7 linked regions of the Oryctolagus cuniculus genome follow. The protein of the gene in region 3 purifies or fractionates together with the protein of the main gene of each other region. This does not show direct contact. Links are inferred from orthologs where the notes say so. Each region holds a gene or a part of one and is shown on either strand. Other genes may lie near its edges.

Region 1 (3,127 bases), on a different chromosome or scaffold from region 3:
TCTAATGCGAGTTAACTACGGAATGCCCCTGAAGGGACAGCCGGTGCTTCCTGTTTTTGTGGAATCCACAATCTCACTTAACTCTGACCATCCAGGTCACTTTAACATCTGGTGACGTGTTTGATCTTTGGCTGTTAGGCAAGATGACTGGGGGACATGAAGGCAGGAAGAGGTGGAACCAGAGTTTAGAACTTTGTGTGCTGTCACCAGAGCTGTGCTCTTAAAGGCGAACCAAGAAGCAGTGAGTTTGTCGTAGAGCTCAGTAGCAGTGCTGTGGTAGTGCCACTCTGCTCAGCCTTCAGGTCTGTGAGCTGGGAGAAGGCTCCTGAGCCACCTCTGTGCCCTTGCTCTCCAGGGTGGGGAGTTTCCAGAACTTGATGCTGTGTGGAGAGATGTTCTGCCTACAAAGTCCTCTTTTAGGGCTGTGGCTGACGTTGGCATTCGTGTTGGCTGTCCTTAGCAGTGAAGGTGATGTGGAAGGGTGATATTTGCACCCTTTGACTCCATCTGTATTGGAGGTCACCCTAAAGAAAAGCTGATTCTCAGGTAGTTCACACACATAAAATGTTTGCTGTAGCCTTTAATATAACAAGACTTGGAATTTAAGTAACTTAGGGCAAATTAAATGAAAATGTCAGAAAATACTGACCTGGCTTTGTAGGTTTGGTATATTTATTGCACTTTTCCTACTGATAGCATGCTATTTTCGTTAGTTTTGGTTTGTGTACTTTCCCTCACCGTATCATTTAATCCCACGAGGACTGAAACCAGTTTGAGAGGACAGATGCTTCTGTCTCCTCTTTGACATGCTTAAGATATTCACATGTCGACAGTTCAGATGTGGCCACCAGCAAATGTCCTGTCCTTGATGCTAACCACTGCCTCTCCTGGTTCCCAGGCACCCCAGCCTGCTGTCCACGTGCAGGGGCAAGAGCCCCTGACTGCCTCCATGCTGGCTGCAGCACCCCCCCAGGAACAGAAACAGATGCTGGGTGAGTGCCCATGTGCCTGCAGAAGAGGGTGGCTGACCCAGACAGCAGTGTCCTCTCTACTGGGAAGCGATTTGGTTCTTCATGAGCTGTCCCACCCACAGGAGAACGATTGTTCCCGCTCATCCAAACGATGCACTCAAACCTGGCGGGCAAGATCACGGGAATGCTGCTGGAGATCGACAACTCGGAGCTGCTGCACATGCTGGAGTCCCCCGAGTCTCTCCGCTCCAAGGTGAGTGGTCCTCAGACCCCACAGCTTCAGCTCCCAGCTAGATCACAGTGCCCTTGGACGCTCAGGTGCAGCCGGGGGTGGGGGGTGGGGTTGTCCTCCTGCCTTGCCTGTGATGGGGAAAGCATCCAGCACCAGAAATCCAAGGGCTATTTCCACACTGGGCTGTGTTCCACCCCTGGGCTCAGACACTGGGGAGGGGTGACATGGCTCTCCTCAGCCTCACTGACCACCTGGAGGTTTCTCACAGGTGGATGAAGCTGTGGCAGTTTTACAAGCTCATCATGCCAAGAAAGAAGCTGCCCAGAAGGTGGGCGCTGTTGCTGCTGCTACCTCTTAGACATGGAAAAACCGTATGTTGGCTATTTCATTTTTCCGCAGTGGTTTTTGGTTTTGAACGTCTTACTAAAAGAAGAGGGGCAGTATATAGAACGCCATTTCTGTCACCCAGCCTGATAACTTGTGCAGGTCATTGCTGAGCCTTTTCTGTTATCTAGATGAGTTAATATGGAGGAAGGAGTACAGGGCTGTGAATTTAAAAAAGAGTTCCTGGTCCAATCTTCCTCCCAAATCACCTTGTTGATCCGAAATAATGATGGGTCTACAAGGAGTTCTCTTAATCAGGACATAAAGTCTCATTCTGTGAGTATCATCTTCCTGGTTTGTTCAGAGGTTGGCTTCCAGAGAGAGGCTTTGTCATCGAGGATCAGGACCTAGAGGGAGAGATACACATGCCTGACTATAGTTACATGTGACTGTTCCACTTGACCACTCACCATAAGGTTGTGGACTTTGTCTGTAGCAGGCTTGGTGAGATGAGCAGAGGCAAGGTAAGGAAGAGTGCGTGGAATGGCCAGAGCTGGAGTGTTAGTAGGATTGATTGGGCATAGGTGTGCACCAACGGCCCGAGGAGCCCTCACCTAATGAGTAGAGGGAAGCAGTGCACAGGACATGGCCCAGAGTCAGGTGGCCCCAAATGTCTGTAGTGCTGAGGGTGGGAAACTCTGATCTAGTATTTTCTTACTAGCGAGATTTTAATGAAATCTCTGAAATTATTTTATGTATTTGTGTTGGTGCTTTTCTTTTCAGGATTCAAAAGCCAAATAACCCCTCGTGGAGTTCAGCTCAAGGTTTGAAGACTTCGTAGCTTGTCCTATGGACCTCAACACCAAGAACCACAAATTGCAAATTTAATAGGTCATTTTGTATCAAAAGGTCAATTAATGAAGCACCTAGAATTTTTCAATTATATGACTATATTCTCTGGGTTCTGCTTTGGCCCAGACAGTGTGAACTTTTTTTTCTATTGTGGGTTTTGATTTTCTTTTTTCCCCCTTCCCTGGAAATTGGTTTTATTTGATGTACCCAAGTCTTATGTTTCTCAATAAAGAAAAATCTCCATAAAACTGCCTCCATCTTACCACAGTTTTATTCTATAAATTCCAGTCTTCACTAGAAGTAATTTCTGGATGTGACTAGATTGGAGCGAGCTCCTGTCTCCTGTTTACAAGTGGATGACCAGGTGTGCAGCCCTGTTGACTATGGCCCTGTCCCTTTGCACAGTATTGTGGTAGGTTCCATCAGTGAGTATTGGCCCCGTGGAATGTGCAGAGGACAGAGGTCTGAAGAATCACAATCTGGCTCAGGGAAGTGTGGAGTAGAGGCAGCTGGCACATGGCCCAAGGACAGGCAGTAAGGTCTGCAGAACTGGGCTGATGAGCTGTCCCCCTTCCCTTGTACTGTGCTGGTTAGGGTCTGTCTAGCAGTTGCCGAGATTCTGTAAGCAAGCTTTCCTGTGCGGGGAAGTGTTCGGGGATCTGTGACTGCAGCACACAGGCACTGTATCAGTCCTCAGTGTGACAAGGTCCTGCCCTCCAGCCATGCTTCCTTCTCGTTCCTTGAGCCC
Region 2 (4,100 bases), on a different chromosome or scaffold from region 3:
TAATCCAACTCCAAACACTCCCTAAGGAGAACTACTTCATGTTTATGAGTAACTTGTTTTATTTACTGTAAAATTAACCACCTTTGAACAGGGAAAGTTAAGTCTCCCTCTAATGGCACAAATTTCGGTTACCAATTTCCTATGCATCCTTTCAATGCTGCTGATGCAGACATAGGCACATACAGACTTTAACCCAGCAACCTGTCTTTATCTGTAGCATTTTTCTTTTATAATCAGTGAAAGAGAAAATCACAGAACTAGCTTTCACTTTTTAAAGAAAATGTTTTGGCCAGATTTCTTAATTTTAATGACAAAGTCCTGTGGGCAACAATTTCTTAACTTTTTAAAGTTTATCAAACTTAACATAAAAAAAATGGAAATTTTCTTAGAGGATCCCTTGTTTTATCACTGGAACATTTTGGTATATTTTCATGAGTAGCACACCTTGTGGTTAAGAATTACTATCAACACAATTAGGTAATTATTTTTTAGAACTTTGCTAAAGAATCATGAATACTGAAATTATACTCTGCCTTAAATAATTATTTTATCTTACAAGTAATGCAAAAAATATTTTAAAGTGACCTTGATCAAGAGTACAACTCAGTATTACCTTTCATTTGTTCTGCCAGAGTGTATTTAAATTTCAAACAAAGAAACAATGTTGCAATGTCTGCAGTTCACCACTTGCTGGACCTAACTATTTTAATGCAATGAAGAACATGTTAAAACTTTACATGTTAGACATATCAAACCAAATTATTTGGGATAATTTATACATGTAAAAAATCTCAATATCTTCCAGTATTACCTTAGCTTAAATATAATCATCAATCTTCCTTCCTAAGAATTCAGAAGCTTTTTCTTGCCTTCAAAATGTTATTAGTATTAAATAACTGGTGATCAAATGTCTCAAAGAAAATTTGTCCCCCAAAAAACACAGAACAGAAAAAGATGTGGTTATGCTCTATGAGCCGTGCTTCAATACATAAAAACAGCAGTTTATTTTTCAATTGTACTAGGGTATGGCAAAAAAGCTTGTGGAAAATGAAATTAAAATTATTTCGGCACAAAAAATTCTGAATTCCAAGCATTTTTTTCCAGAATATGTATTTTCCATGAACTTTTTTTGTAAACTGTTTACATCTCATATATAAACAAGAATTTTAGTTTAAAATTCTAAAATATTCAAAATGTATCAACAACTAGAAATAAGAACTTTTTAGGCACAAATTACAGTCCCATTCTTCCCCATTTGTTGGCAATCTATATTTCACAAACCAAGAGAAACGACTGAAAACATTTCAAACTAAGGCAATGTCTAAAATAGCTACACTTAAAAACACTCTATATTTTCATTCTCTGTGACTTCTCATGCTTCCTGTCTTCCAGGTGGTAAGAAAAAGATCATGAAAATTCTCTCCATGTGAATTAACTGTTGGTAAATGCCAGATGATTTTCATATAATTACTGACAAATATAACCTATGCATCTGTATAGTAAGGGACACAGTATGACAATCCTCCACAGTTTTGTTGAAAACTTTCACGCTCACTGAATGTCTGTGCCAGTCACTGACGAATTCAACGCAGCAAGCGTTTACTTAGTAAATTCTAGGTGTACAGCTTATGGCTGAATGAGTGAACCAGGGAGGGTCCGCAACCAGGAAACTGTTATTTTAACAACTAAAAGTACTTCAGGCAGGGACTAGCAAGAGCTGGTGAACAGAGAGAAAGTAACTTTTCAGACTCCCTCTGGTGCCCGAAAGCCAAAGTATTCAGTCCGCTGGGAGTGTTCAGAGGTGACATCACCGGTCTTTTTCCTGGAAAAGGTCTCCAGGGAATCCAATTAACACAGCAGCCCCCCTCCTAAGTGCCTTACGATCTTTTCCAAAACTCCGGAAATACAGGTACGAGTTCGATTAAACCTGGACTCATCCCACGCCCTCCCTCCCAAGAATTCAGACTAATTGGATTTCAAGTTTTAAATCCAAATGACCTCTGCTAAGGGGGCTCTCGTTTCTGTCCGCTGGGTGGCGGGGGTGGGGGGGAGGGGTGCTAATCTTGCAGATCATATATACATATGTAATTTATCCAATAATCCTCTAATCAGGAAACAAGCTTTCAGGGCCCATCTGACCCCACTGGTCTCACATCCTCCAGTGCACAGAAGAAGGAGGCAGGTCGCCCACGTCCTCAGACCCGAGCCCAAGGGACTGATCCTGGTCCAATCGTCCCCTCTGTCAGCTTTTCCCTGGGATGTCTCAGGCCCACTTCTCCTGTTCCTCTGCCCGAATCCCGGACACCCCCGACATCCCTCAGCTTCCCACCCGCCTCTTCGCCACTCCGCGACCTCACCTCCGCCGCCCTGGCCTCCAGCTTCGCCCCCCACACCAGGCAGCCCGCGCGGCCCCTTTAAGAGGTGGCGGCGGCCAGGACGGAGTCCTCAGCGGTCGCGCATCACTCACCCACTGGTTAGCCTTGGGACAGAAGGTGTACAGAGCGACCTGGCCCGTGAGGTCTGCGATGCTGGTGATGTAGGGGTCGTGCTGCTTCAGGGCCGCCAGACTCATCTCCTGCCCAGCTCGACTCAGCGACTCCATCTTGAATCCTGGAGCCGAGCCCCTCCGGTGGGGGCGGAGTCGCGGACAGGAAAGTGCCATCGAGGAAAAGTTCCCCCAGCTGCGTCAGCCCTCTCAACTTCCGCCTCTCTGAGGAGTCTGACAGCGGGGTGGTACAGCAGCCATTTAGCTCCGCCGCGCGCATGCCCCGGACGTCGAGTTCCGGCGTCGGCAGGTCCCATCCGCCCGAGCCGTCGGGGGCGGCGTGCGCGGCTGCGCGATGGGGCTGGCTGGAAGCGTTTCCTGCCCTCAGGCTGCGCTGTCCAGGTGAGGGAGGTGACGGCTGCCAGGAGAGGCTGGCGAGCGACGCTCCCTGGGATTACAGAAAGGAAACCCTGCTGTGGAAAAGGCTCTGCGGGCCGTTTAGAAGGCACGGAGAAGCGTGGGGCAGGGGGGCCTTAAATGACCCTCACTGATGTCGTCACTGATGGTTTCCGAAAGGAGAATTCGAGAACCTTCTTGGAGCTCCACAGGAGTGGCGTTTCCTTCGCCTGGATCCCGCGTGCATATTTTCAGTCAGCCCTGGGAGGAGCCCGTGGGGATTCGAACTCGTTTGGAACCTTATAAAATTTTAAATAGGTCACTCCTTTTGGCGAACATGTACTGAGCGTTTTAAGGAATCAGGTAGTAGCTAAAGAGTAAAACAAGTGAAAACTGTAGGGAGCTTTAGCTCCCCCCACACTTCAAAAAGCAAGTTTTTTTTTTTTTTAATTGATGGGACACCCCAACAGAATTGAAATGTTTTGAAGGGAAAACATGTTCTCCTCATAAAAATAGCACTCATGTCTGCAGCATGTACCAATGCTGGCAAAAACAAAACAAAGCAAAACAAAACAAAACAAAACACCACTCATTTAACTTTTGTTGTACAGGTGTTTATGGAACTCCTAATTGTGAAAAAGGGGCCGTTTGGAGCTTCCAAGTCTTGTTTAAGACATCTCCCTGGCTCCCTGAGAAAGGGAAAGAAGTAGGACAATCTAAGGAAACAGGGATGATGTTAAGAGACGTTGCTCTTTGATACCCAGAGGATGGAGCTACTAACTCTGGCCAGGGAGAATCTAGAAAGGCTTCATGGAGGAGGTGACATTGGGCTCAGTGCTCCAGGGATGAGCAGGAGTTCATCAGGGAAGAAAGGTAAGGGCTTTGGTTCATTTTACAGTGAGGTAGGAAGATGATTTAATTGAAGCCAGGGAGGAGAAGGCACTGGTTCGGAATTCCACACCAGTCAGCGGGGATCTGGTATTAGAACCCAGGGACTCCTGCCCTGTATCTTGAGATTTTTTCCCCCTCCACACCACAATTGCCTTTCTCTTCCCAGTGGCTGGAAGTAGCAGCTTTATTCCCCTCCACCTGCCTTCAATCCATTAACAACAAAAACCTCTGTACTATAGATATGTATTTTAAAATAGGTAATATACTCACTAGGTACAAACTGCAAGAGGCACAACTGAAACTGAATTTAGGTTTTTTTCCCTTGTAT
Region 3 (4,159 bases):
CCTCACTGGAGCTGGCACATCCTCCAGAAACCGTATTTGCTACAGAGTACTCACAATTATTCCACTCCATGTTAACTAAAAGACCAAAGGATTTGATTTATATTACATTCTTCTTAAAAAATAATTTTTCAAACCAACAAATTATCATAATTTAAGAGTCCAGTGTGACATTTTCAATACATATGTACATATGTACAACATGTAATGATCAGGCATACCTATCACCTCAGACTCACATACTTTTCTTGTGCTAGGAACATTCAAAATCCTCTTCAAATTCTGTTTCTAGCATACCATCTCCCAGATTTTAAAATACCTCGTCACACAGAAGGGGGGAACTCTGTTCCTCGTGTTCACCCTAGAGAGAAAGCAGCTAGGTGGCTATTTTGAAATATTCAATTAATTCTTGCCAATCAGAGTTATCCTGCCCAACTGCACCCCTGGACCCATTAGCTATCCTCTCTCCAACCCCCTAAAAATACATTTTATAAATGATAGTCTGTGCAGCCCCAAATAATCTTTTTTCCTAAAGTGTCATATTTCACAATTCTTGCTAATCTGTTTGAAAACAGCAAGGACAAAATGGTTTGAAATGGTTTGACCTATCAACCACTAAAGCTGAATCTAGAATAAAAGATCCAGGGTTCCTAGCTTAATTTTAAACCATCTACGTATCCCATCAGAAAACTGAAAAGGGCCAACAATGTGAGAGTATTTACCCATCTTAAAAGATCATTATACAGAATTTCGAAAGGTTTTCGCCTCAGAAGGACTCCTAGGTGAGATGGGTGGTCATTTCATATTGCCCATTTTTGTCGTGACCTCATCCAGGCTACAGTTTATTTGTGGACCCTTTCCTTGAGCAGTGTGGGGGAAGGGACCTGGTGTAAATCCTGAAGCCCCTTTCCCAACCCTTCACACACCTGATACGTGGGAAGAGAGTGAGGCAAAGAGGATCTCACACGGTATCACCCAGCCGTCTTCTCTACAGGATGGAATAGGGTGCAGGGTTTCTCTCTTCACGACTAGGTGTTTTAAAATCTGGGTGGGAGATGGCATGCTCTAAACCTAGAATTTAAAAAAAAAATAAGGGGACTTTTTTTTTAACGTCAAGGGTAGTCTTTTCACTGCTCTCGACAGCCTTTCCAGACCGCCAAACGAGACCAGGCTTTGCGTTCAGAGCGTGCCGTAGGATCCGCAGCCACGACCCCTCGGAGTGGTGGGGACCAGGCAGGCGGGGGAGTAGGAAAGCTTCATGGTGAAAAACGGGGAAGGCGTCAGGTCGGCCGCGATTGGCGCGTGCTGGCACCGGGAAGCGGGAGGAGGGCGAGCGAGAAGCAGGGCCTCGGACGTGATTGGTTGCGGCGGCATATTTGGCTTTCTCTGATTGGCTCCGAGTTGGGGACAGCGGCACAGCGGCAAAAAAACATGGAAGCTGCCAGTCAGTGAGCAAGTGCTGACCGTTCTGGGCTCGCTGCTGCGGAGGTGGGTCGGAGTCCTATTGTCACATACGCTTTGGCCATTGTCCGTTTGTATATTCCGCTTCCCAGCCGGGTGCGACCTAGGATTTTACTTTCCCTCGGCCTAGCCAAATTTTTTTTTTCTTACTTGAGACACCACAGCATTTCTGTTATTCTGTTGGGGATAAACGGAGACGCTAGGGTCTGAGAAGTAATCATGAGGAGAAATGCCTAAAAATCTTTACAAGTGAGGGGCGGGCGGGAGAAAAAACTCTCCGCCTGCGGGCGCCCAGATCTTTACCGACTGCCCGGCTTCCACCGAGACGACTCAGTGCTGTTCCCCTCTGGGGGGAGGCTCGGCCCCTCCCTGGAGGATCTCGGCAGTAGAGGGGGGTCGCGCCGCCCAGCCCTGCGCCCTAACGGCGGGGTCGCCTCCCAGACCCCGCGTGCTCTCCGCAGCTCCCCCTCCCAGGCGCACGGTCTCCGCCCGGCGCGGTCCCTACACCCCCCCTGCCCGCCCTCCGCGCGCCCCGGGGCCCTCCCCACCGCGGGTCCCAGGCCGCCCCCCTCCCGCCCCCGGGCGCGCGTCGGCGGGCGCGTGGGGGCCTCTGGTTCCGCGCGCTCCCGGGCGGAGACGCGGCGCGAGGGGCTCGGACGCGGCCCCCGGCCCGCGGGGGTGCCAGGTCAGCCTCCCGCCTCCGGCCCGGCAGTGCTGGGGACCGGTCTTGGGGCAGTAACAAGCAGATCCGCCTCTGGTCACAACCCCGGGTTTTCACGCAGGAGGCGTGAAGGCCGGCGACTCTCCTCAGCCACCATTCCCCGAGCATCTCTCCTCGGCCTTCCTGTCCCCTCAGACAGCAGCCGGGCTTCCCCCTGCAGCTTTCCACCCGTCGGTGTGAGAGAACGGCCCGCTTTTTTTTTTTTTTTCCTTCCCCCCTCCTCAGGGAGCTTCTCCGGCCGGGCTTCCCCTCGCCGTCAAGAAGGGAAGAAGGGAAGCCAGGCGGCCGCGACAGCCGAGCTCTCGCCATCTTGAGTGGAGGAGGAGCCGCGGCCGCCGCCATGCGGAGAGGCAGGGAAAGAGGGAGGGAGGGAGGCGGCGGCGGGCGGGCGAGGGAGGGGGCAGACAGCCGAGTTAGCTCAGCTCGGCGGCGACTTCGGCGGCGCCGAGAGAGCGGGCAGCGGCGGAGGTAGGCTGGGCGGCCCGGCAGCCGGCGGCGCGGGCTGCCGGCGGCGCGGCCCCGGGAGTGCGGCGGGGGCGGGGGCGGGGGCGGCCACAGCGAGGGGCCGGGTGGGGGCGGGCGGAGGTTTCCGAGGAGGAAGGAGCCGCCGCCATTTTGGGAGCTTCGAGTCAACAATAAAGGACCGAGGGTGCCGAGCGGGAGTGGCCTCGGTGGTAGGACTCGGGCCAGAGCCGCGGGGCGCGGGGGTGAGGCGGCGGGGTCGAGGTCGGCGGTGCCGTGGGGGCTTCAGGGAGCCCCTCGGGCCGGCGAGGGGTTCGCTCCGGGCGGAGGCCCAAGGCCTGGCCGGGCCTGGGGGAGGAAGGGCGGGCGGCAGCTGTGTGGGGTGGGGGCGCCTCAGAGGAGTCGAATATGGGAATGCAGTGCGCGGCGGGGTCAGGAGGAGGAGCGGGCCGAGTGCTCCGAGGAGTTTTGTGGAAGACGAGGGGCTGTGGGGACCCGAGGGGGCGGTAAGGGCTGGGGGGGAGATGATGTTGGAGGTTATGGGGTACGAGGCAGCCCTACAGGGGGCGGCACGGATCTGCCGTGTTGGAGGGCTCCGGCTGGAGGAGGACCGGCTGCTGCCTGATTGCAGTAGGCCTTGTAGGTCGATAAACAGAGGGTGTTGGTGGAGCCCCCGGGTCGCGGAGGGAAGGAGGGGCGTCCTAGGTTGTAGGGGTCTCTTCGGGCCCTTTATTGGAGCAGTCCCTATTGTTTGCTGCCGCGGAGCTGAGTTTTGGCCCTTGTTGCGCAGATAGGATTGCGGGGACCCAACCGTTTTGTTTTTGTGGTCTGAAGGAGCTGACTCGAAGTGTGAGACTGGGGGGAGGCAGGGGAAGAAATGAGTGCCATACAGTTGCGGGGCTCCCGACACTGGCTTGACTCCTTTTCCGCGATCCCCCGCTCCCTCTCTTCGGAATAAAACCCAGTCACTCCAACTTGCAGCCAGAGCTTGGAGAAACTGCGCTGCATTTGCAAACAAAAGCTCTCGTTGGAGATGACGGTACTGTTTTGGGTGTGAAACTGTCAATTGCTAACTACGATCTGGGAAGTGCTGTAATTAATTCCACCAGGGGCTCCTCCCAGATAGTCTACGTTTTGTCTTTTTTTTTTTTTTTTTTTCTTAACGTAGAACTATAACCTGCACATCTAAATTGGGAAGGGGTAGGAGGAATATTTCCTCTCTGAGACATAAAGCTGCAGTGCAGGTTTCAGTTTAAGAGGGGAGCAGTTAGCACATAGTCTTATTTTGGATTTAGGGAGATGCGCGGTGATGGGCAGTAATGAAGATACGGTTTCGTTTTTAAGAGATTGCCTTGTTCATCCTCCTAATGTTTTGCAAACAAATAAGTCTCCCTATATGAACTATGTGATACGGTTGATCATAATCTAAAGCTGTCAATACGGGAAAGGTTCATAACCTCCTCTAAGTGCTCTGATTCAGGAAGACTTTAAAAATAAACAGCTCTGTGTATGTGAGAA
Region 4 (4,246 bases), on a different chromosome or scaffold from region 3:
GGCATGGAGGCTGCCCCAGCCTGGGGAACGAGCCACGGCAGCGGCCCCCTCCTCAGCCGTCCCCAGTGTCCTCCACTACGGCGGACATCAAGGCGTGGGCGGCAGGCCCGGCATCCCTGGACCTGGGCGCCGCGTGTGTGCTTACAACTGCCCTGCTGGGCGTTTGCACCGCGGCCGCACCCCAGGAGCCAGGTGGGCACTGGGAGGCCCCGAGATCAGGCCCTCAGGTTCCTGGGAGAAGAAAGCGCCCCCAGCCCAACACGGAGGCTGCTGGCCCTGCCGGCACCTGGGACCCCCGCCCGAGTGGGCTCCCGGGGAGGGAAGGCTGCCCCGCGTGCGTCGGGGGTCTCCTCGCGGCTGGGCCGTGTCTGTCCTCCCCAGCACACCCCCAGGAGCACACAGTCCCACAGTGGCTGAGGCCTGCTACCTTCTCTTCTGCTTCCTGGGGCTGGTTTTGGCCAGCTGCCCCGGTTCCAGTTCCGGTTCCGGTTCCGGTGGGGCCACAGCGGCAGGTGTGAGGTGACCGCCCGGTTAATGTTTCGCGCCCTGAGCAAGTTCAGTCAACACAGACACGTGAAACCAACGATCCACAGAGCAGCTCCGACTCGCTGTACCCTGTCTCCCTGCGCTTTGTCCAGGGCCGGCCCTGCCCCTCCCCGGGACACTCGGCGGCCCCGAGGCGGGGACAGGGTGGGCAAGGGCCCTGGGGCATCCCGTGTCCAGCGCCCGGTTTCAAACCTGGCTTTGCTCGGGACCCACCTCCCTGCTGGGAGGCAGAGGCCAGGGCTCCGGCCCCCGGGCCCCCGCTGGCCGCGCGTGGGCCCCGCACGAGGCCCGGACAAGCTGTTTAGGGGTTTGGGGAGTGACGCGGCCGACGGAAGAGCTCTCTCCGCCTTACAAATAAGTTTTTTCTTTCGTTTTGATTTGTTTTGCCTTTTTTCCTTTTTCTTTTCTTCGAATGTTTTTTTAACTTGAGACGAAGCTCAGCACGCGCACGCCCACATGCATGGGAGCGCGAGGCGGGGGTCGCGCGGGGGGCGACCGGGCCGAGCCGCTCGGGGCTCTCTTCAGGGCGTCGGCAGCCGGCAGGTCCCGGGCGCGAGGGCCGGACCAGAGGCGACCGCGCAGCGCGCTCGCAGGGCCGCCAGCTCGCTGCCCGCCACCCCGCAGGGCAGCGCGGGCCGGACAGGCCGAAGCCCCGCCCCCTGCGCACTCGCGCCCCGCCCACCTCGCCCACGGCGGCTCACAGCGCGCGGGGCCCGCCGGGAGCCGGCGGCGAGGGGGCGGGGCGCCGGGCAGCTCCGCCCCCGGCCGGCAGCGCCGAGCTGCGCAGGCGCAGCTCGCGGGCCCGCCCCGCGGACGGCGGCGCGGCCATATTTAAAGGGCGGCGGGCGCGGCAAGCCAATGGGCGGCGCGCGTGCGGGGGCGGCGCGTGGCGGTTCGGGGCCCCGGATGTGGCTGCGGCGGCCGCTCCTCCCCCGCGTTCCTCTCAGAGACCGGCTGCGCGCCCCGGCCTCGCTCGCTCGGTGCCCGCGCAGGCCCCTCGGGCGGAGGCCAGGAGGCGCCCCGGCGGCGCAGGAGCGGGCGGCCCGGAGGCCGCGCGGCAGCGGAGCGGGCGGCCCGGCGCTCGGCCCCCCGCGGCCGCCATGAGCGGCTCCTCGGGCACCCCGTACCTGGGTAGCAAGATCAGCCTCATCTCCAAGGCGCAGATCCGCTACGAGGGCATCCTCTACACCATCGACACCGACAACTCCACCGTGGCGCTCGCCAAAGGTAGCGGCCCGCGCGCCCAACCGCCCGCGCCCCGCCCCCACGCCCACCCCCGGGCGCCCACCCGGCCGGGGCCCGCGCCCCGCCCCCACCTCGCCCGCCCGCGGTCCGCGGGGCGCCCCCCCACCCGCGCCGGGCCTCCCCGCCCCCGCGGCGCGTCGCCCCGGGCACAATGGTCTCCCTCCGCCGCGACGGCGCGTGATTGTGCGCGGACGCCCGCTCGCGCGGAGCCGCCCCTCGGCAGGTGCTGGGTCCCGGGCGGCCCCGCGTCGTCCTCACCTGCCGGGGGGCGGGGCAGCCCGAAGGCTGGGCGGGGTGGCGGCGCGGAGAAAATGCGGGTCTGCGCGTCTGGGACCCGGAGCGGGTCGTCGCGCGGGAGCCGGGCGCTCCTAGGGAGCCTCCCGCCGGCCGGGGCGCCCCGGTCACAGCCGTCCCCGCCGCGGGCTCTGTGTCTGAGCTGTGCTCGGCGAGGGTCCCCCGGCTCTCTTTGTCTGCGTCCTGCAGGGGGGCTGGGGAGAGGGCTGCGTGCGCGCGGGGTCCCCAGAACCCTGCGCTCAGGACGCGGTCGTCCCGACTCCTGGGAGGGGCTCCGGGACCGCTGGCGCGCCTGGCGCTTGGCTCGCTGGGACACGGGGGCCGCAGGTGCAGGCTGCTTGGATGCGGGTTCGGACTGGAAGCCCTGGGGAGGGGTGGGGGCTCCCGGAAGCCCGGTGCCCGCAGGTTACTCTCGCAGGGACGTTTGTGGAACTCCTTGTAGACAAGCTGGTGTGGGGTCCGAGCCGGACCCCTCCTGTGGGTGGAGCGGCGTGGGGGCGTGTCCCAGGGCAGCTCCCTGCTCCGGGCCCCTGCCGCCGGATGTCCTCCCCTCACCTGCCAGCCAGGTGGTTTCTTCGCAAAGAGCTGTGTTCGCCCAGAGCGCCCGGCACGGGCGTGCGTGCACCTGCGAATGGAGGCGCGGGACGCGGCCAGGGAAGCAGCCCGCCCAGAAGTTCCCGGGCTGGTGCCTGGGGTGCCACCCCCTGCGCAGCGGACGCGGTGCTGTAGGGTGGGCCGCGTTCGGGGCCGGCGGCCCGCGGGAGGACACAAGTAACGCTGCTTTCTCTCAACCCAAGTGCGGTCGTTTGGTACCGAAGATCGCCCCACAGACCGGCCTGCACCCCCGAGAGAGGAGATCTACGAGTACATCATCTTCCGGGGCAGCGACATCAAGGACATCACGGTGTGTGAGCCGCCGAAGGCCCAGCACGCTCTGCCTCAGGACCCCGCCATCGTCCAGGTCGGTGTGCGCCGCCCCAGCCGCTGGGTGTGTGCGAGGGCTGGCTGCGGAGAGCCGCTCAGGAGGGGCTCGGCTCCCGCCGCCTGCTCCTGGGGAAGGAGGCTGGAGGGGGGCGTGCGGCCGTGCCCTCGTGGCCTGCTGTGAGCCGGGAGATGCGCCCGCGGGCCGCCCTGCTGGGTGTGGCTGTCTCGCCTGGGATTTTTAGGGAGCCCTGTGGCTCGTGTTTGCTCGTGGCTGGCCCGAGTCCTCCTTAGCTCCCTTGGGGGTCAGACCACCCCAGGCTCGGGGAGGACGTGGGGGCCTGCGTCAGACCTGGGGAAGTGCCGGGTTCCCAGTGTGCGGGGCGGGAAGCGATGCCTCCCGGGACTCCCCCAGCCTGGAGCCAGGGCTGGGCCGCTCCGCTTCCTGTCCAGCTTCCTGCTGAGCCTGGGAGACAGCGCTTGGGTCACTGCCACACACCTGGGAGGCCCAGGCTCCTGACTTGAGCAGGGCTCAGCCCTGTCGTGGGCGTCTGGGGAGTGAACCAGTAGATGGAGATCTGTCTCCCTGGTCTCTCTCTCTGCGTGTCAAGTAGATGGAAACGAAACGTCAGAGGAAGGACTGGGCTGCCAGGAGGCAGCTGTCTCCCCGAGGCTGGGCGCCGGAGAGAAGGCAGACGCGGAGCTGCTCCGTGCCTCCCCAGCCGCAGCCGGGCTGTGCCCGTGCGCGGGGCCAGGCGCTCCCTGACTGCAGTGGCACCGTGGCTGCTGCTGCACTTGTGTGGACAGGGAGAGAAGCAGAACTCGCAGGTGCTGGCCCAGCTGCCACGTGCCTGCCGTGGCCGGGAACAGAGCACAAAGCCTTAGTCTGAAAGCCCAGGTCCCCGTGCGGTGGCCGGAACCCAGGGAACCTGAGGGTCACCACAGACCCCCATCCGCGTTCGCAGGAGCCGGAGAGCTGCAGCTGGAATCTTTTTTTTTTTTTTTTTTTAAGATTTATTTGAGAGGCAGAGTTACAGATGGGGGGGTGGAGTCTTCCATCTCCTGGTTCACTCCCCAAATGACCGAAACAGCTGGAGCTGGGCCGATCTGAAGCCAGGAGCCAGGAGCTTCTTCTGGGTTTCCCACACAGGTGCAGGGGCCCAAGCACTCGGGCATCTTCTACTGCTTTCCCAGGCCACAGCAGGGAGCTGGGTGGGAAGTGGGGTGGGCAGGACACAAA
Region 5 (3,990 bases), on a different chromosome or scaffold from region 3:
TGTGCTACCTGTGTCCAGAACAGCCAGCCTCCGTTGTACTCAGAGGCAGGCCCCATTGGGTTGGAGTAGAGATACGGAGCTATGGAAGACAATCTGAGTGTGAGGGTCTCATGCTCTCACCCCTCAGACCTCTGCAGGGAGTTTCCAGGCCTCCTCCTAGTCCCTCCTGATCTTACACACACACACACACACACACACACACTCCACATCGTCTTCAAATTCCAGAAGTCTTAACTATTAGGGCAATTTCTGCTTCTCAGTTTTGGGGACAGAGGCCTTGCCCAGTGCAAATGTAGCCTTGAGACCTCTGAATGGTATAAACCTAAGGGCAAAATAGCAACTGCAGGCCGGAACCCAACCTAGGATTTGGGCTAATGCCCTGAAAGGGTCTTAGGCTCAGTGAGGGCACCATAGCCAAGCTTGACCTGCGAATGGATACCCTTCATCTCCACTGTGGGTGGAAGCTAAGGACTCCCTCAGATGCCACAGTTTGCCTGGCTGCACTGGGCACAGGGCTGGATAATGTGCTGTCTGCGGAGACAGCGTATCTGGGAGATTTCAGTGGGACTGGATCTCTAAGCTGCCGTGTATGTGGGGGTGGGGGAGAGGTAGAAGCTTGCTACCTCTTAAACCACCCTGTATAAAATCTGCAATACAGCTTCTTCCATGTACCTGTGCCTGAATTGTCTGCAATAAAGAGGTGTTTGTAAACTGTGGTTTCTTTCTTCCTCCTTGAGTGCCAGCTGGGACCAGGGCCGGCTTGGGGACACAGGAATGATTGTGATCATTGTTAGTGGGGTTGTCACCCATGTCTTTGTAGTTCCTGAGCTTTATGGCTTTGCAGGTCCCCTCAGACTAGACTATCCCCACCCATTTCCCAAAGGCAACTAAGGCTCCTGCCAGTTCAGCGAATTCCTGAGAGACTGAGGGACCACAGCCTGGGCGGCCAACATGTAGGATCTCTGTTGTAGGATCGTCATCAGTTACATTTTCGGAGTGAGCATAGACCAGGCGAGATTCCTGAAACGAGTAGGTTTAGGGTGTCCCAGTACGTGGACATTCACCCTGTGGAACTTCCCTGACCCTACCGGCACAGAGACTGCTGTGAGCCCAGGCAAGCTCCGGAAAGCCGAGGTATTCGTCACCAGCCCGGAACCTTTGTTCTCTAGTTCTTTCAGGTTCCGGGAGCGGAGCTTCGCGGGGGCCGGAAGTGGAGGCGGTTGGTGGGGTTGGTGGAGCTGAGGACGCAGCGCGGGCGGCAGTTTGCTAGCTGCGGGTGGACGGAGTAGTGACCTGCGTCCGGGTGTCTGGCCCCTGCGAGGCTGGGCGAGACTGGGCTGTGCGCGGCCGCGGTGGAACGAACGTCGTGCGGGTGGGGCGCCCGCGGCTGGGCCCATGGCCTCCTGCGCGAGCATCGACATCGAGGACGCCACGCAGCACCTGCGGGACATCCTCAAGCTGGACCGGCCCGCGGCGGGTGAGCGGGGATAGCGGGTGTGGGCCCTCAGCGAACAAGCAAAAGGGATGCGTGGGTCTGAACCGCTCTTAGGGCCCGCAAGTCCCTAAGGACTACGTCTGTATTCTCCCGACCGGTGAGGGCGTATGGGAGTCGGAGCCTTGGATCCCTGAGCTTACCCCGCGGTAGGCGCAGACCCCTGAGTGTGACTCTCCCCATCCCCGCGCCAGGCCATTCTTCACCTTCAGCGTTTCGGCTGAAGGTGAAGTCCCCCTCTCTGAATCCACTGGACGCCTCTGGTTTCCTGGCCTCAAGATCTGTTCCTGGAGCTGTCTCAGTGCTCTTCCTCTTTGACACGGGTTCAGCACCTGCAGGGCTCCCGCTCTGTATACCGAGTTCTGGACCTGGATTTAAGCGTTGTGCTGGAGGGATGCTGGTCCCCCTCTGCACCTTGCCTTTCCCTCTGGAATGCAGAACCCAGGCCTGTTGGGAAACTGAGTTCCAGAAGAAAGGTGGCCAGCCCCAGGTCCCATCTGTCTGAGTTGGAGGCAGCTGCGCTGATCGGGTTAGGCTATAGCATCCACAAGCTCTAATGTGTTCCCATTCATTCAGATTTTACTCGGGCTCTTAGTGAATCTCAGAACTGCTTTTGACCTCAAAGAGCCTTCAGGACACAGAGAGCTAAGGATTGTGATCTAATGTTGTCGTGGAAAGAGAAGTGTTTTGATGCTTTGGTGGGAATAGGTTTGAATGGGAGCTGGAGATTGCAGAGCACAGCACTGACAGAGGAGATTGTGTAAGCTGGGTCTTGAGTGTCAGGAAACGCACCCAAGACAACTACATAGAAACCTCCTATTTATTGCAAAAAGGAAATAGCCCATGTGAAGGCACTCAAGTTCTCTGACAGGCTCAGGGATCTGTAAAAAGCTGTGATGGTTCAAGGATTGACTGGTGATGGTGGGGTGGGTGTGCAGTGGCCTCAGCTGAGAACTGATGTTTCCTCAGACCTAGTTCTTCCACCTGCTGGAAGGTTCCGCCCGACCGCTTCAGGCACCGATGCTCACTCTGAGTGGATTTAGCTTACCCAGACTGCCTGTGAAAATCTACCTGCTCTCTTAGACCACTGGGCTCTTTGCCCCAAGCCTGGAGTGTGTGCACCCCTTCTTGGGAGCTTGGCTTGGGGCGTTCGTGCTAATGGGCTGCTGAGCAGACTAGACTCCGCAGAGGTTCAGTAGAGCCTGGCATGGCCAACTGTGTGCAGCCTGGGCCTGCTGTTTGCTTATCCTCATGGTAGGCTGCATGGAAGGGAGAGTGGCCGGCTTATGCCTGAGCAGCTAAGGTGGCTCGCATTGATTTGCACTTCGTTTCACTGTTGGAAGCTCTTGATTGTCTCCTCTTGTTGTAGGACCTCAACCTGTTTTGTGACTGGAAACTTGCCACATTCCTAAATGTGGAGCCATAGTTTCCTTGCCACTTGGAAATTTAAGCAATAATGTCTGAGCCTATGAGAGTGTTTGAGACCCAGCTGATGCCAACAACTGAACTGCTGTCTCCCCTGACTCCACACCCACCTCACTGTTTCTCTTCTCTGTATCTAGCTCCTTCGAGTCTGTTCCTTCTGCCTTTCCTGCCTGAGGTAGCCTCTTCTGAGCTTTTTCTGTGTGGGCAGGGCCTCTTCCTTTCATATCCCCACATCCGATCAGTGTCCTTCTCTGCCTTGGGTACTCATCTCCTCTCCAAACCCTGCCACTATCTTGGTCTAGGCCCTGTTGTCAGTAAATTCTCAACTGTTTTGTATGCTTCCTTAGAGCAGTCAGCCCACTGGCAACAGCTGACCCTGCCACTTTCCCCTTTAAAACTCTTTTGTGGCTCTCATAGCTCACAGGGAGAGTCTGGGTACCCCAACATCATACTTGAGGCCTCTGCAGCCTTGTTTCTCCTCTGTCCTCCTCATGTTTGTGTTCTGGCCACAGTGGCTATGGTGGTGCCTTCTCTGTGAAGTCTTTCCTAACTCTTGCCATTCCCTTCCTCAAGTACACAGAGTTCGATGTGCTAATTGGCCTCAGAGGGTCCTTGAAGATTTGTTCACTTCCTGCAGGTAGAAGAGCCTCACGCTCAGCCTTGTCCTGGTATACATTAGTTTATTGGACAAGAGATGAACAAAGGGCTCTCTTTCCCATGAAAATGCCTTGCTTTGGATCTGGCGTTGTGGCATAGCAGGTACAGCCATTGCCTGCAATGCCAGCAGCTCATGTGGGCGCTGGTTTGAGTCCTTGCTGCTCTACTTTTGATCCAGGTCCATGTTAACACACCTGGGAAAGCAGCAGAAGGTGGCCCAAGTAGTGGGCCCCTGCACCTACATTGGAGACCTGGAAGAAGCTCCTGGCACCTGGCTTTGGCCTGGCTCAGCCCTGGCCATTGTAGCCATTTGGAGAGTCAAGCAGCAGATGGAAGATCTCTCTCTAGCTCTCCCTCTCTCTCTGTAACGCTGACTTTCAAATAAATAAAATCTTAAAAGATAGAGAAACAAAAAT
Region 6 (3,500 bases), on a different chromosome or scaffold from region 3:
GGGTGTTAATGTTACAAATGATAATTTTCAACAATAGACATTCAGCATTTATGAATAATGCAGAAAGTATTACTTCTGTATGAATACTCAGTTCAACACAGTCCTCATATCTCAGTGTAAACAAATTGTCCACACTCATTAACAAGCACGTTTTATCCAACCTGTTCTCACAATACAAGTCTCACTTGTTCAAATGACAAGCTGCAGTATGAACCTCAAGAGAATCTGACTTTGCATTTAGTGACCATTATTCCATGACCTTTTGAGTATGGAATTCACCACGAAAACTCAGCAAATCTTGCTGTTCACAGTTAGAAACTTCAGTCAAGGTCACATGACTTCCCTGCCTGCCTGGATGGCAGTCATTTATTCAAAAGCAGCCAACATATATATTTCCAGGGAAGCAGGTTATATAGGAAACTTTATTAGTCCCAACATAAGCTGTATTAATTATGATTTTAAGGAATAAGTTAAAGTCAGATTTTTAACACAAATACTGTCAACTCATATCGAAAGAACATTATCATTCAAAACACACAGATTCTTAATTTATGCACTGCTTTTACATTAAAATGTTATCTTTCTATAACACGTAGCAAAGGCAGATTTTGACAAGGGTCAAAAACATACTTCAGTATTCAAATTCATATTTTTAATCAATAATTTTATGTTAGATCAAGAACTTCTACCAGATTAAAGCAGCCTTTCACTCATAATATTATTACAAAGCTTTTTCTTTTGAAAAATTACTCAATTAAATTTAGAATACCTTTCAAGCATCCTAAAAAACAAACTGTATTATAATCTAAGGGTAGACATACAAAGAGGCAGGTACATGGAATGTCACCCCCAAAACTGACTCCTGCTTCAGACCCACAGGAATATCCCCCAGTATTCTGGCCAAAAGGCTGTTACATGAGAGGCTGTACAATCAGCCAGGCCTATGTGAACAAAGTTCATTCTTTACCGTTACCCACTACACCCAAGGAAAGCCAGGAGGCAGAAGGCCCTGGGCAGCGCTCTCTGGGGCTGTGAGGGAACATCTTTCGCAGGTAGAAAGAGAAAGCCCCTTTCTCACAATTCAGCATAATTCATAGCTTCACACAGCATTTATCAAATTTCTCTCTAATGAACAAAAGGTTAATAGAAATAGTTTTAATAAACTAAAGTTAAAACACGGAAATTATAGGTTATTAAATAATGAAAGAGGAAACTTCTGTAATTATAAACTCACATAGGAGTTAAACAAAGACAAACAAAAACATGAACAAATTGTGGTATTGTACCTTCTGAAGACATGCGTTTAGGCATAGTAGAGACAGGAGCTGGAGAACCATGAGCAGAGGGGTGAGACGGGGGTCTGGATGGCCGCGAGGGGGGCCTGGAGGGCGGCCGTGTAGGGGTGGCTGCCCGAGGTGGAAGAGAGTTGGGACCTGACTGGTAGCGAGAAGGTGGGCGAGAGGAAGGAGATGGGCAAGGCGATGGCCAGGGAACACCTGACAGAACAAATGATATGAAGGAAAGTATAAAAACTAAAGAAAAAAATGAGGGAAAAAAGTAAACAGAAAAAAAAGTAAAATGACAAAAATGATTTCTTGTACATTTTAACCCTTTGAGGACAGTCATTTGAATTGTGCTAAGTTTTAGCATAACTTAACCGACATCAATTCACATTTTACTTTAACCTCCTTAGAATTAAATCTGTTTAAATGAATACACGTTCCCAAAGGGTTAATCAGGATCTACACATACTATTGAAGACAGGTAAGACTGTGCCTATTATCCTGCTTCTGTAACTGAGTCTCAGTAATTAACTATGAAAAGGATATAACATACACTAGATAATTTCACACAACGAAACACAGTAATTCCTACTCAGAAATAAGAGTATTTACTAGATTAGTTTTAGCTCTGAAGCAGTGAAAATAAGCAGCATCTACTGTATCAAATTGAAAACACAGCTCCTTACAATTACATACGACTCTCACTGGGTTTACCCTTGAATCTAAGGTTGTCTGAAATCTCTCTAAGCAGCTTCCATTTAAGTAGAGATAAAAGCATTACTTCTACTATTTTCTAGAGTCACAGGATTAACAAAGACCTATATTCACTGCTCTTTGAAAAAATTACTTTAATCTCAGACTAGAAAAGGGGAGACCTTCAAAGTCATCACTTATGCAGTGAACATTTCTCTGAGAGACTGCTTAACACACAACCAAAATACAAAGCAGTCGCTGCTGAGTGAACTGGCACTGGGGGACTTGCACAGGCCCACACACAGTTACCATGCCAACAGTCACGTCACTTACCTTCACCACAGCCGAGGGTCCAGGCCTCCTCTCCACAGAGTTCCACACACTTGAGTATCATAAATTTCCCAGCCCCCTCAGGTTTTTTACTCTGAAAATTCTGTTTATAAACACCTAAAAAATCTTTATCAGTAAGCAAATAAATTTCAGCCCCAAAACTAAGTACAAAAAATACTCAAGAGTGTTCATTTGGAGAGGAGTTCTGGAGAAAAGATACAAAGAAAACAAGTGAAACTGGAGACCTAGTGCTCTGTTTCTCTCTACAGTTCTAAACTGAGATGCTGCAGCAAGTGCCCAGCCTTCCTAGGTTAAGACACTCGAGCTCTCACTGATCACCACACTATCCTCAGTGCTGCGGTTCAGCATCCCTCTGTGCATCAAAGATCCACAGTGCAATGATATAGGTTACAATAATTATAATATATATATAATCTGTAACCCAGACTTAGAGGCAGAGTAGAAAATGTCTCCCACTTCTCTGACTTATTGTCGCTGACCTACAACAACCACCCTCACACTGAGAGTTGTTTCTGTTGTGTTAAGCACATTTTCTCTCATCACCTTCTTCACCTGATTCTGGGTCATGCCTCGTATTACAAAGTACCTCAAATCCTCTCTTACAGTAAGCACAACATAAATAAGGAAAATGAATCCATATTAACCATTGAATGTTTCACGTAGATTATAATTTTCCATATAAAATGCACCTATGTAATTTTATTGTTCATCAGTGTCTTAAAAATCAAGAACCTACGCAATGTATCCAATTTATATGTGGAGTCTTTTTTGGCCAAGCAATGATATTTGGGCTAAAATTAGCACTCTTTCATCGCTTCTCGGCCTTTTGGCTAAGATCAAGTGTAAAATTAGCACTCTTTCAGTACATGAGACTTCCTCACACTAAATACTGAATCTACAAATGATTCATACTATGTTTTACTAGTCTGATATCCACAAAAGCATATTTCAAGTAATTTTGAAATAAAAACTACCCCATAAAAATCATTAAGAGTGTACACTGTCTTATCAGTGATATAAACTGTTTTAAGTAATTAGAAAACTATGTATGTATGTGACCAATGACATTGACAAATATGGTCAAAATACTTGCCTCCATTAACTACTCTTTGGTCTGAACCAGAATTCGAGTTGAAATCTGAAGTGTGAGAAGTGGGTCTTGATGGCATGGAG
Region 7 (4,068 bases), on a different chromosome or scaffold from region 3:
CCCGGGGAGGCCGGGGCAGAGGGGCGCCCCCCACACGCGGGTGCCCCTCCCCGTGAGCGCAAGTCGGTTCCATGGGCAGCTGGCCTCGGGCAGGTGAGCCACCTCCCACACCGGCCCTCGCCGCACCACGGCCTTGACCTCGGCCGTCCTCGGCCTCCTCCTGCCCTCTGTCCAGCACCTTCTACGTCCAGCTGTGGGGCAGGGAGCGGTGGCCAGGAAGGATCTGACCCCTTTGGCAGGACACACGACAGGTGGGCCGAAAGACGAGCCGCTAACATGATCCCGAGCCAGGGACGGGGGCAGCTCGGTTTCAGGCCCTCGCGACCGGCAGCGTGACCGCGCGGCTTTATATAGCGCCCGCCGCCCTATATAAGCCGGAAGCGGGGTGCCCGAGGAAAGAGGCGGCTCGCTGCTCCGGCGCGCACCCACTGCCCCCCGCCCCCGGCATGCCCAGCAGGACGGCGCGCTACGCCCGCTACAGCCCCCGGCAGAGGCGCCGCCGGCTGCTGGCCGACCGCAGCGTGCGCTTCCCCAACGATGTCCTCTTCTTGGACCACATCCGCCAGGGCGACCTGGAGCAGGTGGGGCGCTTCCTCCGCGCCCGCAAGGTCTCGCTGGACACCATCCACCCGTCCGGTGAGCGCGCACCTGCCGGCCGCGGAGGGAGGGGAGCCCGCGGCCTCGGCCCTGGCCCTGGCCCTGGCCCTGACCGCCGGCCCTCGCCCTGCCCAGGCCTGGCCGCGCTGCACGAGGCCGTGCTCTGCGGGAACCTGGAGTGCGTGAAGCTGCTGGTCAAGTACGGCGCGGACATCCACCAGCGCGACGAGGCGGGCTGGACGCCGCTGCACATGGCCTGCAGCGACGGGTACCCCGAGATCGCCAGGTGAGGGGCGGCCGCGGGGAGCGCAGGGGCCCCGCGGCCTTCGGGGTGTCCGCGGCTCCCGACGGGTCGGGTTTCGGCGGAGCAGCGCCAGAGGGCGACGCCGGGGGCGAGCGGGCAGTGTCCGCGTGCGCGTGTCCGCGTGCACACGGCGCCCTCTGCCCCCAGGTACCTCATCTCCCTGGGGGCCGACCGCGACGCCGCCAACGACGACGGCGACCTGCCCTCCGACCTCATCGACCCGGACTTCAAGGACCTGGTGGAGCTCTTCCGAGAGACCAAGATGGACTGAGCCCGCCCCCGCCTCCAGGTGGATTTTTTATGGTGACACTTTGTACTTTTTCAATAAACGCGACTCCCGAGCCCGCAGCCTGGCCTCGTGACTGGGGGCCGGCCCGCGGGGGGTCGCCGTCCCCGCCGCGCGCGGTCACGTGGCCCCGCGCCGCGCATGCGCCGCCGGCCGTGGCGTCACTTCCGGCGGGGCCCCCCAGCTGGAAGAGGCGGCGGCGGCCGAGTCCGGGCGAGGTGAGGCGGGCGCGGCGCCGGGCGGCGGGGCGGGGCGGGCGAGTGGGCCCCGCGTCCGGCCCCGCCCCGCGCCCGGCCCCGCCCTGGGGTCGCCGCCGGGGCCGGGCGCGGCCGCCGCGAGGGGGAGTGACCGGGAGGCCGGGCCGGGTCGCGCCGTGCGGGCCGCGAGGGGCCCCCGGCGTGCAGGCGCGGACGTGGCGCCCGGCCCGGGGGCGGCCGGAGGGGTGCGGGCTGACCTGGCCGTGCCCTCGCGACCCCCTCCGCGCCGAGGCCCCGCCTGCCCCCACGCGACCGCGGCGTGGATGGCGGCGCTGCGGGGCCCCGGCCCGGCCCGGAAGCCGCCCGGCGTGGCTGCCCGTCAGAGGCGGCCCCGTCTGCCTTGCTCCCGGACCCCCGGCCATGAGTCGGGGGGTTTGGGCAGCGCAGGCGGGGACCGGGCCGGACCTGGAGTAGCCGCCCGCGTGCGGCCCCTGCTGTTTGGCCTCCAGGACAGCAGCGTCCTGGGGCACCCGGGTCAGCAGCTCGCGTCCAGGGTCTTGCTGGCCGAGGAGGGGCCAGAGCACGCAGGGGAAGTGGAGTCTAAGCAGGAGCCGCACAGGCGCCGGAGGGCCGGGCGCGGCCGGGGCTGTGTGCAGGGGCAGGGCCTCCGCAGGCGCCTTCTGCCCGGTCCTGGCCCGGCCCGGCCGCGGCAGTGCCCGACTGCTGGGAGGGGCAGGGGCGCGGGGTCCGCCCCCGGGTGCCAGCTGCCTCGCCCGCAGCGGGGGAGGGGTCTTCCTGGGCCCCGCGGGCGGAGCCTTCCTCGCTCCCCCCCCCCCCGTCTGGCTGTGCGGGGAGGAGCCCCCAGACTCCGGTGAGGTCGGGCCTCCTGTGTCCCCAGGGGCTTCTTCTCCTTGGATGGGGGTGCCGCACCCTAGGGATTCACAGGAGGAGGCGGGGCAGGGGCGCTGACCGCCGGCCACCGGGAGCTGTGGCCTGTGCGCCGGTGGTGGACAACAGCAGCCGTGGACCCCAGGGCTCTGTGCTGGGACCGAGGTGGGGGCGAGGCCGCAGGCCCAGAGGCGAGACGTCCCTGGGCCCAGGCCCCGATTCCGGCTCCCACTCGCATGCACCCTTGGAGGCCGCACTGCTGGCTCCGGGGACGCCTGGCCTCGGCCTGGCCGCCATGGGTGCGCAGGGAGTGACCAGCAGGTGGGCGCTCTCGCTGTCTGCCTCTCAGAAACCAAAACCTACGGGTGGGCCGGGGGCTTGGTGGCCGGAGGGCAGGAAGGGCGGGCGGCCAGGGTCCCCGGGAGGGTGTGAAGCAGGGGAGGGGCCGCTGCCCGAGGCGCCTCATCTCGCGCTGCACCCGGTCCAAGGGAGAGAACGCGCCCGGTTCAGAACCTCAGGCGCCGAGCTCCCCGCATCTGGCCGGTGTGGGCGGTGGCCCGGGGCGGTCACTGGCCGGACACGCTCTGTGCCCCCACTCACCGCCACCCAGGCTGCAGAGCGGCGGGCCAGCGTCCTGCCCACCCAGGGTTCCCTTCTCCCCAGCCACGCCTCAGGCCCCACACCCTCCGTGCCGGCCTCTGTAGGGACCCTGGCCTGGGGGACACTGAGGGCAGGACGTGGCTGGGAGCCAGGCAGCCAGAGGAGCTGGGGCTGGGTGGAGGGAGAGGCAGGCAGGCAGGGCGGGCGGGAGGCCCAGGAGGTGGGCGCCGGCCAGGCCCGCCCCGAGCACTGCCCTCCTGGTCACCTCCATCCGCTGTGCACCCCCGGGCAGCGGGCGGGAAGCAGAGTTCACCTGGTGAGCCAGCCGGGTGCTGCCACGGGCGCCGCCCCTTCCTGCCTGTGTGTGTGTGTGACAGCTGAGTGGGCCGTGGTGGGAGCCCCCTCCTTCAGCTGCAATGGGGCACCAGGTGGCCAGCGTGAGCCCAAAGCTGCTGACCTCACGAGGCGGCAAAGATGCCGGGGCCCAGAGCCCCCCCCCCAGGAGACCCCCAGGAGCCCCCAGCACCCTGGTCTGAGTCCACTTTCAGGACACTCCGGGCTCGGGCCCCGCCGCAGGGGCCCTCACCCTCAGGAGGCCGCAGGCGCGGTGTGCCTGGGCTGAGCCAGGTCCACCGGGACCTCGGAGGGGGCCCTGAACCTCAGGGGCAGCTGGCAGGGTGCCCTGGGGCCACACGGCCTGGTCGCAGCTCCGCGGGAGGAGGCAGGTGTGCCCGTGCCCTCCCCACTGCTGCCCAGGGCCGTGCCCGCCCCATTCCCGGCTCTGGGGCTCCTGTTTCAGAGGCCGAGGGATCTGGCAGCGGAAGGCCAGGACCAGACGCCCCGCGATGAGCAGGTGGGTCGTGGGCAGCCGGGGCAGGGTGGCCCCCGCCCTGCCCGGCGCCCGGCCCGGCCCTCACGCGCCGGGGCCCCCCAGTTCCCCTGTCTCCAGAGTCGTGTACAACGGCAGGAGGAACAGCAGCCCCCGCTCGCCCTCCAACAGCAGCGAGATCTTCACCCCCGCCCACGAGGAGAATGTGCGCTTCATCTACGAGGGTGGGTGCGCTGCCCCCACCCGCCTGGGAGCCCCGTGCTGGGCGGGGGCGGGGAGGCGGCGGGATCCGGGCGGCCACGGCCGCCCTGACGGTGCTCGCTCGGCTGCAGCCTGGCAGGGCGTGGAGAGAGACCTGCGGAGCCGG

Evidence for each region.
Region 1: the proteins of DDX6 (region 3) and PABPC4 purify together in Homo sapiens (affinity purification with mass spectrometry; 3 studies listed by BioGRID and IntAct, with this or other methods). This does not show direct contact. The link is inferred for Oryctolagus cuniculus from reciprocal best matches to the Homo sapiens genes DDX6 and PABPC4.
Region 2: the proteins of DDX6 (region 3) and DCP1A purify together in Homo sapiens (affinity purification with mass spectrometry; 8 studies listed by BioGRID and IntAct, counting the BioPlex papers as one, with this or other methods). This does not show direct contact. The link is inferred for Oryctolagus cuniculus from reciprocal best matches to the Homo sapiens genes DDX6 and DCP1A.
Region 4: the proteins of DDX6 (region 3) and LSM14B purify together in Homo sapiens (affinity purification with mass spectrometry; 4 studies listed by BioGRID and IntAct, counting the BioPlex papers as one, with this or other methods). This does not show direct contact. The link is inferred for Oryctolagus cuniculus from reciprocal best matches to the Homo sapiens genes DDX6 and LSM14B.
Region 5: the proteins of DDX6 (region 3) and EDC4 purify together in Homo sapiens (affinity purification with mass spectrometry; 4 studies listed by BioGRID and IntAct, counting the BioPlex papers as one, with this or other methods). This does not show direct contact. The link is inferred for Oryctolagus cuniculus from reciprocal best matches to the Homo sapiens genes DDX6 and EDC4.
Region 6: the proteins of DDX6 (region 3) and ATXN2 purify together in Homo sapiens (affinity purification with mass spectrometry; 6 studies listed by BioGRID and IntAct, counting the BioPlex papers as one, with this or other methods). This does not show direct contact. The link is inferred for Oryctolagus cuniculus from reciprocal best matches to the Homo sapiens genes DDX6 and ATXN2.
Region 7: the proteins of DDX6 (region 3) and MCRIP1 purify together in Homo sapiens (affinity purification with mass spectrometry; 3 studies listed by BioGRID and IntAct, with this or other methods). This does not show direct contact. The link is inferred for Oryctolagus cuniculus from reciprocal best matches to the Homo sapiens genes DDX6 and MCRIP1.

The regions. Positions count from the first base shown.
Region 1 is NC_091438.1:133,302,616-133,305,742, forward strand, and holds the end of PABPC4 (polyadenylate-binding protein 4), read left to right. Parts: intron 1-898; coding exon 899-992; intron 993-1,093; coding exon 1,094-1,224; intron 1,225-1,471; coding exon 1,472-1,561; 3' UTR 1,562-1,574; intron 1,575-2,310; coding exon of another isoform or gene 2,311-2,328; 3' UTR 2,329-2,627; downstream 2,628-3,127.
Region 2 is NC_091441.1:96,494,738-96,498,837, reverse strand, and holds the start of DCP1A (mRNA-decapping enzyme 1A), read right to left. Parts: upstream 2,801-4,100; 5' UTR 2,663-2,800; coding exon 2,468-2,662; intron 1-2,467. UniProt on the Homo sapiens protein: Necessary for the degradation of mRNAs, both in normal mRNA turnover and in nonsense-mediated mRNA decay. Removes the 7-methyl guanine cap structure from mRNA molecules, yielding a 5'-phosphorylated mRNA fragment and 7m-GDP.
Region 3 is NC_091432.1:111,456,376-111,460,534, forward strand, and holds the start of DDX6 (probable ATP-dependent RNA helicase DDX6), read left to right. Parts: upstream 1-1,359; 5' UTR 1,360-1,485; intron 1,486-2,057; exon of another isoform or gene 2,058-2,529; intron 2,530-2,548; exon of another isoform or gene 2,549-2,647; intron 2,648-2,725; exon of another isoform or gene 2,726-3,147; intron 3,148-4,159.
Region 4 is NC_091442.1:1,236,296-1,240,541, reverse strand, and holds the start of LSM14B (protein LSM14 homolog B), read left to right. Parts: upstream 1-1,446; 5' UTR 1,447-1,646; coding exon 1,647-1,773; intron 1,774-2,882; coding exon 2,883-3,046; intron 3,047-4,246. UniProt on the Homo sapiens protein: mRNA-binding protein essential for female fertility, oocyte meiotic maturation and the assembly of MARDO (mitochondria-associated ribonucleoprotein domain), a membraneless compartment that stores maternal mRNAs in oocytes.
Region 5 is NC_091449.1:51,116,081-51,120,070, forward strand, and holds the start of EDC4 (enhancer of mRNA-decapping protein 4), read left to right. Parts: upstream 1-1,190; 5' UTR 1,191-1,395; coding exon 1,396-1,477; intron 1,478-3,990. UniProt on the Homo sapiens protein: In the process of mRNA degradation, seems to play a role in mRNA decapping. Component of a complex containing DCP2 and DCP1A which functions in decapping of ARE-containing mRNAs. Promotes complex formation between DCP1A and DCP2.
Region 6 is NC_091452.1:8,929,688-8,933,187, forward strand, and holds part of ATXN2 (ataxin-2), read right to left. Parts: coding exon 3,421-3,500; intron 1,497-3,420; coding exon 1,287-1,496; intron 1-1,286. UniProt on the Homo sapiens protein: Involved in EGFR trafficking, acting as negative regulator of endocytic EGFR internalization at the plasma membrane.
Region 7 is NC_091448.1:1,048,568-1,052,635, forward strand, and holds the start of MCRIP1 (mapk-regulated corepressor-interacting protein 1), read left to right. Parts: upstream 1-1,268; 5' UTR 1,269-1,328; coding exon 1,329-1,405; intron 1,406-3,671; coding exon 3,672-3,725; intron 3,726-3,806; coding exon 3,807-3,925; intron 3,926-4,033; coding exon 4,034-4,068. Other genes in the region: PPP1R27 (protein phosphatase 1 regulatory subunit 27), read left to right, coding at 447-636, 733-883, 1,049-1,172. UniProt on the Homo sapiens protein: The phosphorylation status of MCRIP1 functions as a molecular switch to regulate epithelial-mesenchymal transition. Unphosphorylated MCRIP1 binds to and inhibits the transcriptional corepressor CTBP(s).